Oreochromis niloticus: one gene and its partner. The protein of the gene in region 1 purifies or fractionates together with the protein of each later gene. This does not show direct contact. Links are inferred from orthologs where the notes say so. Each region holds a gene or a part of one and is shown in the gene's direction. Other genes may lie near its edges.

Region 1 (7,160 bases):
GAATCTTACCATCTGAAAGTGTCTTGACAGTTTGAGGCAACTTGGCAGACTTCATCATAGCAGTGAAAGTAATGATTTCTGTGCGATCTAGTCTGCTGCAGCCAGTGCAGAGTCCCTTTATTAAAAGGATCAGGTGTTTCTAAAGAACAACAAATAGCAGCACAATTTCATTTCAATTAATTTTTTATTTATTTCAATGCATAAGTCAATACAAAGCCGAAAACCACCATGAAATGCAAATCAGTGATAACTAGAAATGACTACACCCACCCTGCTGACTGTCTCACTTACCTGTGAAACTGCACATGCCTCATCAGGGTTCTCCAAGCGCAGCAATGAGAATTCAATCAATACTTTGCACGCTGCAGCAACTGACAGCAATTGATTTCTTGGTACTAGGGAAACAGAGAAAAGAACAAAAATAACATCGAGCAACAAAACCGTTTTCACTGAAAGATCTTGGCTCATTGTCAGTGAGTGGCAGGAATTTGTCTATTACTCTAAGGAGAAAATGAAATACACATACTTTGTCCACATACTGTGGTGATGTAATGTGCTGAGAGTGCCACGAATGATGAGTAGAAAGGTTCATACTGCTTGTCGTGGTGAAGAATGTCTGATTCACTGCAAACAAAGGAAATATGACTTTTTACACAACATTTATAGTGGGTTGTTTTTGTTTGTTTGGGGGAGGGGGTAGAGAATACAGACAGGACAGTGACATAGAGTGGATTTGATCTGTTTAACTGCTCCTCCCTTCTTCAACCAGTGTCTTAATTCCTCCACGCAAATATGAGTAAGAGGTGCAAAGATGGGATTTAAAGTGTTCACAGGACAATCTCATGTTCTGCTGTGTCACATTAAACAGATGGTAACCACTCATGATGTACATCAAATCAACTGCCATACTGAATGTCCAAGTAACAATAAAGAAAACACCTGCTGACTGCAGCCTTACTTTTAAAATATAGACAGAATCAGCTCCATCTGTTGCTATGGTGACATTACATTGTGAATTGTGAAATTGATCACTGAGGCACTGCAATTATGCAAACTTAGCTTACCCTACAATTTATCCAATGTGTTTGTGCAAGAATTCAGTCTTAAAAATTAATTAAAAACTTATTAAAACAGACTTTTTATAATTATCATTCATTATCATCCATCCATCTGCACGCTGCAAACTCATGTTTGTTTTCATGCAACTGTCTGATATTTCTTACACATTTTGTCAACACAACAGGATCCTGGAAAATGAAAGAATAGAATGCTTAATGGTTTATAGTCTGGTTAAAGGTTAGCATCAAAATAATTACTCTTCTTCAGTATACACCACCTCAGTGACTTAACTGATTAACATTTCTGGTATATCTCCCAGGAGCATTAGTTTGTCTCAGTTAATTTTTTTTTTTTAAAGATCAATTTAATACATCAAACCACAATCAGTTGCAATATATATGCAACAAATACTCAATATCATCATCAATTAAAAAAAAGAAACAGTCATGACCTTCACAAAAAGAACATAAAATAATAAAATGAATGCTACTGCTAACAAACAAGCTGCAATAACATTGCCATTCTGTTATATGTGCTACAGTGTGGTACTGCTTGTGGTACTTGCAAAGCCATGAGAGAGAACACACAAAAACCTATCACCCACCTTGACCAAACTCAGTGTGGCTAAACTCGGTGGTAATTGGCAATTCAAGCCTACTTCTTCAATGTCGTCTTCACAGAATGTAATATTTCTTTAGGATACGAGGTGTAAGGAAACAAGGTGTGTTTATACTGATGGTATTGGAACTGGCTTTTGGTGTGGTCGGAATATTTTAAGTACTTTTCCTTAACACTTGGGGCCTCTAATAAACAGGCTTGTTACAATTACACAACTAAAAGAAAGAAACATTTTAATCAATACTTACATAGATAATGGAGTCTTTTTTTATTATAGTCAAACTGCACAATAGGATAATTCAACTACACAACACTACTTTCGATCCTCATAACAGTTGTGTTCGCACAGCCTGTTGCACTGGAAAACGAAACCAAGAGACATACTAGGAAGCTTTTATTTCTATGTACTAGCTTATGTTACGCCACAAACAGAGAATCAAGGCACAACTACGGAATCAAATAAATCACTCAACAATACTTGCAAAGCACTAATACAATAAATATCTACTTTTATGAGAACATAAATAGGTGGGCATGTTGTAACGAGATAACAAGTTCATTCTGCCCCAGCATCTTTGTGGTTAAGCAGAACCATGCAGCATTTCCTAAAATACAAGTCTTAGAAGCAATAACCTTAAGTAACCATTTTACGAATAATACGTTAACTGCAACTCAACATCACCTGATCAAAAATGAGTGGAGAGGTGAGGTCCCCCGCCTACTTTCAGCCTAACCACAAGCAGATGACGTTAAGCAGACTATTTTTGCCACCCTTATAATGCGTGAACTGGCTAATGACATGCCCAGATTACGCCTTATAATGCAACTCCAAGACGAAAGTATTGTTGAATTTAGCCCAATGAAGTCACCTGACGTAGTCAAATATAACTCTGGCTGGGGCGTTTGAGAGCCAGTCCAGTTGGAAGGCCCCCCGAGTTAGCCTGCCGGCTAATGTTTGTGTTAGCTAGCTAATGATGAAGCAATTTTGTTAAAGCTTACACTGCAACGCCGTTTAACGTTTGCACGGCGCCGACATTACGTTAAAGATAAATGTCCATCAGTCATAAGACGTGCTTCGTTTCAAACTCTGTAGTCACCAGGAAAGAAACGCTATATAGCATTTTGAGTAAGTTAGCTGTCATTAGCACATCAGCTAACGTCTTGAGCTGACTCCATGCCAGTGCAAGTTAAGCTTAAATAGCTTGCTAGCCGCTAACGTTAGCAAAATGGGTATCGTTTCCCATCAAACTATACTAACCAAGCTAGGTTAGCAATTTAGCCAGCTAGCCTACGCCTAGGTGGACACAAGCAGTATTCAAGCAAATAAGAACCTGGAATTTATTGACAATTAACCGGTTACCTGTTGATTATAGACCCAATAAGCTGAGGTAGCTCCTTCGTCTCAAAAGCAGTGTACGAAGCTGATAAAAGCGGCCGAACTGCCGCTGTCCATTCGTGTTCCCCATCTCCTCCGCTCGACGCCATCTTGAAATCCTAACAGAAAAAACTAGCTACTGGAAGAAGAAACTGCGGTGTAAGTAAATCATGGGGGCGCTCTCACTCTGATACCAGCCCTGACAACATTTTACTCGAAATTTTTACTGGTTTACTGTTTATAAACCCATTTTAAAATTATGTATAGTAATATGGTTCCCAATTTACACGAAGGAATAAAGCGATGTATGTTTTTTTCCATCATTCTTTTGTGATGTAATTACATATACAAGTTGTAAAACTTCCATATTGGTTATTATTATCTTTTATTTTTTTTTTTACCTATTTTAACTTATCTTATTATTCATTTAATATTAACTTCATTAACAAACCAGGAATCACGACTTTTTGACTTTATGTGACTTTCATCCACATATGTTAATATTCTTGTATGACGATAGATAGATATAGTAATACGACACCTTTTGATTCCAAAAAAGTCCACAATAGCAACAGGACTTTATCCAGTATCATCAAGTAAGTAAAAAATAAAATAAATGTATAAAGTAAATATTAATTCATATAATAAATTAAAGAAAATAAATACTTTTGTTGTCTAATTACTGAATGCAACACACAGGGCCTAGAATAATAGATAATGGAATATTAAATACACAAATCGTCTTCGTTTTTCTTTATTTCTTCGTTTTTATTTTCGCTTTTTTAACGCGTGGGGGTGCAGCCTATGTCTTCCACTTGAATCCTGTTATTTATCCCCTGTGTTACCATTAATTTAAAATGTTATCATTTGTGTTTCTGTCAGATGATCCCATCACACATTTTCCCACACATGAATTAAACTCACAGTTTTTTTCAATGGTGATCTGTTTTCATTTTTTTTTTTCTTTCAGTTTAGGATTTGATTCAATCCATGTCTGGGAAACTGGTTGAGTATTTGTTAATCTGAAAGGTCACCACCAGAACCGACGCTGTGTGTCTTTACAACCTTTAGGGGGCAGCACTTCTCCTTCGCAGAACGAAAAGGAAGTCGTTCGGCTTCCGACTTCCTCCTCCCGTTGAAGAGCAAGTCAGAGCTGCTGCAGCAATGGCAAAGCTAATTTTGCTTTGGCTTAAATGTGTCATATTATACAATGCTGTCGGTGCTGTGTTTGAGGACCAAGTAGGAAAATTTGATTGGTAAGAGGTGTCAAGTGAATGATCAAATGTGTGCCGATTATGTTTTAATGTGGAAATGCTAATGTTAGCACCTGTCACAGCAGCTAGCTGCTAATCGGTGGACTTTGAATGAGAACAGGTCAAAACACACCAGAATGAAGACAAACAAATGTAAATTTGGTAGTTAATTTCAGGAGGTGTACATATGTCCATGCTTTATAGAGTAAGTGAATCATTGGTCCCACTAAATTCAGCAAGTGAAACGCGATAGAAAGTGATTTAAAGGCAATAGGAAAACGTTGTAACCAACAAACCAGTGTCATGTAGTTTCGCCTTTTCAGTTTGAGAAATATGTCTTTGCACCGGGATTGGATCCATTTGGTCATTAAAACAATGGTGTTTTAATGGTGTCACTTTGATTATGGGTGAGCTGGATGACAGTCTGACTGCTTGTGCTTTCTCTTCATGTTTCACAGGAGGCAGCAGTATGTAGGCAAGGTTCGTTTTTCTCATTTTGACACACATGTGCAGTCATCCAAAAAGGTTCTTGTAGCAACAGAGAATAATGTTTTTGCCGCACTCAATACAAGGACTGGGGAACTCTGTGAGTATGTTGTTAGTCTGAAAGACAAAGTTCTCATATATTAGGTATAGTCTTTTATTGTCATTTTGATATCAATGTCTGTTACAGTCTGGCGACATGTAGATAAGTCTGGACCCGAAGGAAACATTGATGCTCTTTTGCACCATGGACAAGGTGATTTATTTTTTGTAATTAATCTAATAATGTATTTACATTGCAGTAATTTTGCAGTTGATAAAACTGTCTTTGTGTCCTAGATGCAATCCTAGTGGTTGGTAATGGTCGCCTCCTGCGATCCTGGGATGTCAATGTTGGTGGTTTGAACTGGGAAATTGTGCTTGACTCTGGAAGGTGATTATTTCCTTAAGGTTAAGAATGGTCTTTGTTTATTCATTTATTTGATTAAATCTTAACTTGCTTCTTTTATATGTTCAAGTTTCCAGAAAGCATGTCTAGTGGGGCAGCAAGGCACAGTGAAAAACGTGGCTGTTTTGAAAAAAAACATTATCTCTCTCCATTACCTTTCTAATGGCCATCAAAAATGGATAGAAAATCTACCAGAAAGGTATGTTTTTATATTAATGTTAACTTTGTGTACTGGTAATCTCTGTTTCAATGAACATAATTCTACACAGAAACTCATTTTTTCATTTCTTTTTTCTGTTTTTTTTTAGAAAATACCAGACAGTGTTGTAAAAACAGTAATTTTATTATGAAACTTTTGTCACCTTCTGTTTCTCTCCACAGTGAGACTGTGGATTACCAGACTGTTTATTCTGGAGGAAATGGTGAAGTTTATGCTTTGGGAATTGTTCCCCATTCCCACGTTGTTATTATTGCTTACAGCACTGATGATGGAGAGATAATCAAGCAGGTAATCCTGTTTATTAATGATAGTATCAAAAAAATACATCTATGCTCTGTAAATATAACATATATAAAATGGATAATTTGTGGAAGTACCAACTAACTCAAACACTGAATCAGTGGTCAGTATATAGAATGATTTTAGTGAGTTTCTTGCCTGTGATGTTTTCAGATCTCTGTTGAAGCTCCGTGGCTGTCCAACATAGTGGCCAGCTGTGCAGTAATTGGTCAGGGGGTGCTGATTTGTGTAGACTCTGCAACTCCATCGCTGTACATGTGCGACTTACACCTAGATACGCATGATTTACAGATGACCCAGATCCCTCTGCAGGTATGACTCTAATAAAAACCTTTCTAAACCTTTCTAAATTACCATGTATGTCCTCTGCTTTAGATGGTTAAGTTTTAAATTCTGCCTCTCTCTCTTTCTCAGCTCTCCACTTCTGTGATCTTATATGTTCCCTTATGAACACACCGGGTTTTTTTTTTTTACAGTCTTCTCCTATTTGTCTTCTCACAGTCACTGGGACTTGAAGTAGCTCCAGACTTTCAACCGGTCCTAGTGTCACACCAGCCCAACTCAGCCCATCAGCCTCTATCTGAGTTCTTCCTTCAGCTCGGCCCTGATAACTTCCTGCTTCTCCAGCTCAACAATGGTCAGATAGTTACACTCAGGGATTTCAAGCCAGTACGTAATCTTTTCTCTATATTAGCCTGTCCTGGTATTGCAGTTGTTTTGCTATAACAGCCAACATCAGTAAATATCTGCCAAAATGTAAATGTGGCTTGGCATCCTTGCCAAAATATTTTATTTCCCCAGGCAAATATCAAACAAAATAACTGTTAAAAACAGCCAAATACAATACTTTTTTTTAAACCCGTAACATTTTTTTGAATGTATTATTTTTCTACAGAAAGATCATGTCTTTTGTTGTATTATACAGAGCTATATCCTTTCTTGTAGGCCTTGCTGGTTTCCTTTGCAACCACTGGAGAGAAGACCATCGCTGCTGTTATGTCCCCAAAGAATAAAACTGTGAGTTAAATTAATATTTCACCTTTAGATTTATTTGTGGGTTTTGATGTGTTTTAGCTGTTTTCTTAGTCTCAAATGCATTTGATTTTAAAAAGCAGACATGTAATACACCTATTGATTTACTTAATGAAAAGGTTAGACTTGTTACTGTAAGATTTTTTTGTCATGTTTTTCAGGAAACCATTTTTAAGTGTTTTTTTTGTTAAATAATGTTCTTAATTGGGAGATGATTATTTGTTTCTTTCCCACAGGCTTGCAGTATTAACCTCTTTAGTGCTGAAACTGGACGGAGACTTCTAGACACAACACTGATTTTCGTTATGGATCCTAATGGTGGGAAACCAGAGAAAGTGAGTCAGTTTTCTTTCCTGAGGTACTGTGGCAACT
Region 2 (6,939 bases), on another chromosome or scaffold:
TAATACTCAAGTTTAATTTGAATGGTCACCTGGACATGAAAGCTGAATCTGATTAAAACAGCTTAAATGTGTCAATGACTTACACAATAATGAGGATTTCAAAAGGCCACTGGGGAAGTTATTCCTATCACCATCCTTGCTGTTAAAAATGTCTTGCCTAGATTTTAATAAACGATTCCTTTGAGAGTCTTGTCTCTCTCTTACAATGTTTCTGGTATTATTGCACAGGGTGCTTGCTGACATCGAGACTGATTTGGAGCCAAAGGTATAAAAGAGCCACACTGTCTTTGTCTTTCTTCACTTCCTCTCTATCCAACTCTGTATATTCCAGTAAAGACATTCGGAGGCTGACTGCGCTCTTTCTACAAGTTGCCACCCGGCACTCCCCCGAAAAGACTGCCTGCCTGTTTCACTCATGCGTCCATTGTGGTCATCTCCTGCCTCTGCCTCCCTGTGAATATGATCTTCATCTTTTCCCTCTCGTCTGTACAAGAAGTCTGTGGTCTGTGCACCATCTATGTGAAATATCTTTATTCCACTCGCTAACGATGACTTTTTAACGCGTTACATTTATAATCTAAGGAATTTAATTTACTTAAAATGTTGAAACTGCTATGACTTCTGCCTACTCTGCACATATCTATAACGTGAAAGCACTTCATTTCCGTTTTTCTGATGCACTCCTGCTGTTTTCCCGTTTTCTCGTTAAAATGACTCGTTAATTTTTGTATCAATATGGGGTGTCTTATGTTCAGTTATTTGTAAATACAGCTGGTTTGACTTGGACAGCAGCTCAAAGCATAACAAATCAATCCAGTAAGATGCATCTGTTAACAGCAGCTGTAGCAGGGTTAGTTAACTTTAACTGTACCTATTAGTAACTACAGTTTGTGGACAGCTTAGCTTTGTATGTTCTGTACCAATGTTACAGCGCTGTTTACTTAACAATTTAAGACTGCTTTAAGTTGCCGGTGTAACGCTAAATGAAGCAGCCCTACACCACCTATTTCTGTTTATTTCCAGAAACGTCGGAACTCTCATTGACCGTCTACCGACATACCAAGATCCAAACAGCTGAGTTCACTTAAAGTTAGCAGACTCAGCTAGCATTATCAGCAGACATTGTTTTCCAGACAGCCCCCGCTTACCTCCGAGATGTCATTTTTTTCGTTCCTCACTTCCTCGCTGGCAGTTAGCAGTAGCTTTAATTAGCTGGCTAACGTTTCCCACCGTTAAAGCTTCAGTTACAGTATAAAGTGCTTCATTGGTTCACATCCGGTCAAAACGGGCACCTAAATCTAGTTAAGCATCGACACAAATTTTTTTGATAGCGCCCGTTACAAAAAAATGTCTCTAGGCCTCGGCCCCGGAGACTTCACAGCAAGTCGATTATTGGACGTCACCAAACCTGCGACAAAACAGAGGGTGTAATGGATTTTTTCACCCTCGGCGGCCGTTTCTCGTGGTCGCTTTAACCCGCTTAAATAAAAGCTACAGATCTCGGTCCGTCCGGTAAACGGCGTCAGATAAATTAAAGAGCCAGATCACTTTCACTCAGCGCATGCTCGTTAAAAGGTTTTTTTACGATACAGCGGCGAAAGCGGCAAACGACGAAGAACGTCTGCGAAGGCTTCTCGAACAGTTCGTTGACTGTCTGTGCTCACGGCAAAGCGAAACTTAATCGCAGCTCTAAGCCCTAACGGGAGATAAATTACATTTCATATGTTATTTGTGACGTAATTAGATGCGCAACCATTTTTAAAATGATATTATGAAACTTTCGTAATGTTTTGTTGTGGCGACTCGGGTTATTAGAAACGCGTAAAAATAAATACAGATAAAATTAGTATACATTAACAAATTTTTTCTGTTTGAACATTTTACATGCAATCTTTGAGCTATCCAATATTTGTCATTTGCTTTGTAAGCAAAAACATATAAAATATTTCACATAAAACAGAGACTACCTTAGGAGAAAGTCAAGTGGTGATGTAAGTAACTTTATCACTGAAGCATTGTACTCTTTTCCCCAAAATAGTACATCCATAAGACTGGTGAACATGCATCTTCCTTTTAAATCATTTTATTTATATTTGATCCAACAAATATAAATATTTGGAGAAACCTATTAAAACCTTGGCCAACATTCAAGTCATGATGGATGAGATTTCAACCTGGCAAACAGGGTGCTGGTGTAAACTGCTAATATTGGCCAAAGACAAAGGAAAAGAAGAGGAGGAGGGTGTGTTAGGAGGCAATGAGAGAGTAGGAAAGACAGAAGTCTGGGGGTTAAAGTTGGCAGTATAAATATACTGTGGTAGATATATTGTTTATGCAGGAGACCAGATGGAAGGGAAGCAAGGCCAGGAGTATTGGAGGGGGATTCAAGCTGCTCTACCATGGTGTAGATAGAAACAGGAGTGGAGTAGGGGTAAGGAAGAGTATGTGAACAGTGTTGTGGAGGTGAAAAGTGTCAGGCAGGAACATGAGTCCGAAGCTGGAAATCGAATGGTCGATGTTGAATGTTGTCAGTGCGCATGCCACACAGGCTGGATGTCAATTAGAAGAGAAAGACAAATTCTGGAGTAAGTTGAGTAAGTCAGATGAAGCAATAATGTCCCCAGGGGGGACATTATTGTGATTGGTGCAAAATTCTATGGACATGTAGACAAAGGGAACAGAGGTATTAAGTAGGTAAGGTGTTAGAGAAATGCAGAGGGACAGATAATAGTACATTCTGCAAAAAGGATGGAAATGTCTGTACTAAACATGTACTTTAAGAAGAGGGAAGAACACAGGGTGACATATAAGAGATGAGGAAGGTGCACACAGAGGGACCACATCTTATGCAAAATGTGCAATCTGAAAGATATAGGAAACTGGAAGGTGGTGTCAGAGGAGAATGTCATTAAGCAGCATCAGATGGTTGTCTGTAGGATGCCTTTGTACATTAAGAAGAGGAAGCAAGTGAAGGCAGAGGCAAGGAGTAAGTGAAAGAAGTTGAAGAAAGAAGAATGTTGCACAGAGTTCAGGAAGAAGTTGAGGCATACTCTGGGTGGAAAGAAAGAGTTACCCGATGACTGGGAAAGTACAGCTTTAGTGCTGACACTGGTGTTTGGTGGATCCTCTGGACACAACCGGGTAAAGCAGACCTGGTGGTGAAATGATGAAGTACATGAAACTATAGGAAATGAAATGAAACAGGTTAGTAAAGAAGGAGTGACATATTTAGGAGATGAAGAAAATAGATAGGAGTACGGGACGGCTAGGAATACAACAACGAGAGAGGTGGCAAATGAGAAGGATTGTAGTGTGTTGTAAGTAAGAAACTAAGGAAGGAGAAAAGGACTTTTGCTGATTGGCTAGACAGAGAAATTGAAATGGAAAGTATATGCTGCAGGTTAGAGTGGTTAAGCATAGAGATGAAAATGTACTAACAATAGAAGAGAGTGTGTTAAGATGACGGAAGGAGCACTTTGAGCTGCTGATAATTCCAGAAAATGAAGGAGACAGGAAAACAGATGGAGAAAAGTTAGTGAATCACAATGAGTGGAGGATTAATAAGGAGGAAGTGAGGGCAGCTATGAAGAGGATGAAGAGTGCAAACCGAGTTTATCCAGATGACATACCTGTGAAGGCATGGAGATGTCTAGGAGAGCCGTGTTCCAGGTTGTGTTAAACAGTCTTTTGGTTCAAACTGTTTAATACAATGTTGTAAAGTGACAGGAAACCTGAGGAATGGAGAAGAATCAAAATACTTTATTAAGCTGAGGGGAAATTATTTGGTCACTGTTGCTCCAAGACAGTAAGAACAGTAACTTACTAAACTGAATTAAATAATACAAAATATTACAAAGTTACAAATCTAACAAAAAAGTATTCAAGTCTGTCATTCATGCCACACTACAAAAAAGTCTTACAGTGATGCACTGTGTCTTCAAGTAGTATTATCTTCAAGTAGAGTTTTGAACTGCTATGCAACATTAATAAATTATTATTATCATTATTATTGTCGTTACTGCAAAATGCTATCAACTGATATGAAATGTTTTCATAATCGTGTACTATTACTTAGATGACTTAGTGCTGTTGTTTTGGATATTTTCTTATTATATTCTTATTATATATTTGTATAAATATATGTATTTAACTCATTAAATTAGTGCATTTTCACTTATGTTCGTTTGATTTGATTTTTTTTATAAATCAGAAAAAAGTATTTACATTCAGAGTAAAAACACAAATTATAGTAAACTAAAGAACACGACTCTTTAATTATTCGTGTTGCACATAAAGACCCTTTACGGGGTTGACTTTGGCAAGCAGATATAACTTACATGGACTTAAGGGACTTCTTCCAATAACAAATGAGAAAACGAAGAGTTGTCTTTCACTTCCTTTTCAGTGTGTGTCATGTATTCTCGGAGGTTTGGCCCTCGCAGGTACCCGTGCAGTAAGCCCGTACGTGGCAGTCTGAGAGCAGCACAGAGTAGCCGAGCTTGTTGCGGCTCGTCTCCTGCAACAGTCCACTCACACAAACTGGATATACATTAGCATAGAAAATTTTTATACCGTCAGCTTTACGTTTACGCTCTCCATACAACCACGGAAACATGTTTACCTTGTCGGAGCTAGTTGTCTTGCTGGCCGTCCTGTCTGCCACTGCTTCTGGCTACTTCGTTAGCATAGACGCCCATGCCGAGGAGTGCTTCTACGAGCGGGTCAACTCCGGTACCAAGATGGGCCTCATGTTTGAAGTGGCCGAAGGAGGCTTCCTGGACATCGACGTCGAGGTGAGATGTTTCATTCGGATAGCAAAAGAGTCACCTAACGCGAGGCAGAATGTACTTGTAAATCATAAAATGCAATGCAACACAAGGCCTGTGCTAATGTTAGCTATTAGCCGGTACCGTCAGGTAAAACTAGTTGGATGCAAAGCAGGTGTAAAGGATTTAACATACAGTTGAATGGAAAACGTTTACATCTTACAGAGTTGCTTTTTTTAGTTTCCCGCTAAGAGCTGCTCCATAATGATGATTAAATTACCCATTATGATATAGGAAGTGCAGCATTAGCATTGTTTCTAAGTTGCTAATTATGTAGCTAATTATTGATTATTGAATAGTCAATGCGCTGTAGACGTTGTAGAATTCGTTTATTTTCGCTAGTTTTAAGCAGAAAATCTAGCTATTTCTGCAGACAGTCTGACTTAGTTTCTGCCATATGTTTCCTAAAGCACATCATGCCCGTCATGTTATTCTCCACTCAAGCAGCAATGTCAGTTATTTAGATATTCTTCTATCTCCAGATAACAGGACCTGACGGTAAGCAAATTTACAAAGGGGACAGAGAGTCCAGTGGGAAATACTCTGTGGCAGCGCACATGGATGGAACCTACAAGTTCTGCTTCAGCAACAAGATGTCAACCATGACACCCAAGATTGTCATGTTCACCATTGATATCGGAGAGGCTCCCAAAGGCCAAGATATGGAGACGGAAGGTACACAGTGGGGATTTATGTAGTTTAACCGCAACTCTTTTTATTCCTGTTGCTTGTAAAATTATTATTCCTTTTATTCATTTCTCATTTTTTGACTTTATTATGTGGATTCACTGTTTCCCTCTTCGTAGGTGGTGACAGCTGGGATGGTAGGGCACAGCAGGCTTTGACTAAACTACTGTTGTGAAATAAATTTTTGAGCTTGTGATGCACTGCAGTCTTCTCTAACCAGAGTTGCGTCTGTAGTAAAAACTAATTAAGCATACATATGTCAGACGCGGTGATGTTTGCGAATGATTTGACTTGTTGCACATGTTGAGAACATGTATGAAGTATAAATGCAGATACATGCATCACAGGTGTGAAAAGGATATGCACATCTTGCATGTTTTTTTTTGTTGTTTGTTTGGGGGGGGTTCTTTTTCAAATGGGGGTAGCAGGGTTCTTTACCACTGTGTTGTGACTCATCACTGACAAGTCACTTTTCTCTTGTTTCAGCCCACCAAAACAAGCTGGAGGAGATGATCAACGAGCTGGCAGTTGCCATGACAGCCGTGAAGCACGAGCAGGAGTACATGGAGGTCCGTGAGAGGATACACAGAGCAAGTAAGAGCCTTTACATTAAGTCCAATAACCATTGTAATCATAAGTGTAGATAAATCTTTATAATTGTTCTCCTCTTCTTCTCCATCCAGTTAATGACAACACAAACAGCAGAGTGGTCCTGTGGTCATTCTTTGAAGCTCTGGTTCTGGTGGCAATGACACTCGGACAGATTTACTACCTGAAGCGATTTTTCGAAGTGCGGCGAGTGGTGTAGTGCTATTCAAATGATACTCCTCTGTGTCCTCCACTGTACTTTTTTGTTTTGTTTTGTTTTTCCCCTCCAACACCAAGACAGTTATTTACACTGTGGAAATGAGAGTGGCAGTTTTGAGTAAAGCCTACATGTGATTGGATCTCAGAGGTTTTGTTCTCTTGTTACCTGTTTGGTTTCTTCTTTATAAATGTAATTTATGTTTGGAACGAATGGCCAAAAGATTGTGGGATAAATTTCAGTTTATTAGTTTTTCTTTTTAACAGATCTGTTTAATTACAGTTAGTACAGTTGTTTCCTGTGCAAATGACTGTAAGGCTCAGTGTCTGCAGTCAAATGAAAGACTTAAAATTGCACATGAATGGACAGGTATGTGTGGAGTCAGAGTGGAATGTTGCCTATATTAAGTTTGAAATGGGAACCTTTTTGAAATGATAAAAATGGCACATCTGAAAACATCAGTGCAGTAGTTTAGTGTCTGAGATAGGAAAAGTTTGATTTCAGGTGTCAAAGCCAAGTCAGACTGGCAGATACTGCCAATGTGTTAATTCTCAAAAAACACAAATTGCACTCCCGATGAACTTGTCTAGCTATCTGAAAAAATTTACATTACAGCTGGTC

The links.
Region 2: the proteins of emc1 (region 1) and tmed2 purify together in Homo sapiens (affinity purification with mass spectrometry; 3 studies listed by BioGRID and IntAct, with this or other methods). This does not show direct contact. The link is inferred for Oreochromis niloticus from reciprocal best matches to the Homo sapiens genes EMC1 and TMED2.

What each region holds. Positions count from the first base shown.
Region 1 is NC_031984.2:24,272,203-24,279,362, reverse strand, and holds the start of emc1 (ER membrane protein complex subunit 1), read left to right. Parts: upstream 1-4,126; 5' UTR 4,127-4,216; coding exon 4,217-4,308; intron 4,309-4,763; coding exon 4,764-4,891; intron 4,892-4,978; coding exon 4,979-5,044; intron 5,045-5,127; coding exon 5,128-5,221; intron 5,222-5,306; coding exon 5,307-5,435; intron 5,436-5,617; coding exon 5,618-5,744; intron 5,745-5,909; coding exon 5,910-6,068; intron 6,069-6,257; coding exon 6,258-6,425; intron 6,426-6,701; coding exon 6,702-6,773; intron 6,774-7,024; coding exon 7,025-7,123; intron 7,124-7,160. Other genes in the region: E3 ubiquitin-protein ligase UBR4, read right to left, coding at 10-139, 292-395, 527-624, 3,038-3,162. UniProt on the Homo sapiens protein: Part of the endoplasmic reticulum membrane protein complex (EMC) that enables the energy-independent insertion into endoplasmic reticulum membranes of newly synthesized membrane proteins.
Region 2 is NC_031972.2:11,314,650-11,321,588, forward strand, and holds tmed2 (transmembrane emp24 domain-containing protein 2), read left to right. Parts: upstream 1-4,416; 5' UTR 4,417-4,613; coding exon 4,614-4,793; intron 4,794-5,308; coding exon 5,309-5,501; intron 5,502-5,999; coding exon 6,000-6,107; intron 6,108-6,196; coding exon 6,197-6,321; 3' UTR 6,322-6,337; downstream 6,338-6,939. Other genes in the region: ptpn11a (tyrosine-protein phosphatase non-receptor type 11), read right to left, coding at 1,149-1,162. UniProt on the Homo sapiens protein: Involved in vesicular protein trafficking. Mainly functions in the early secretory pathway but also in post-Golgi membranes.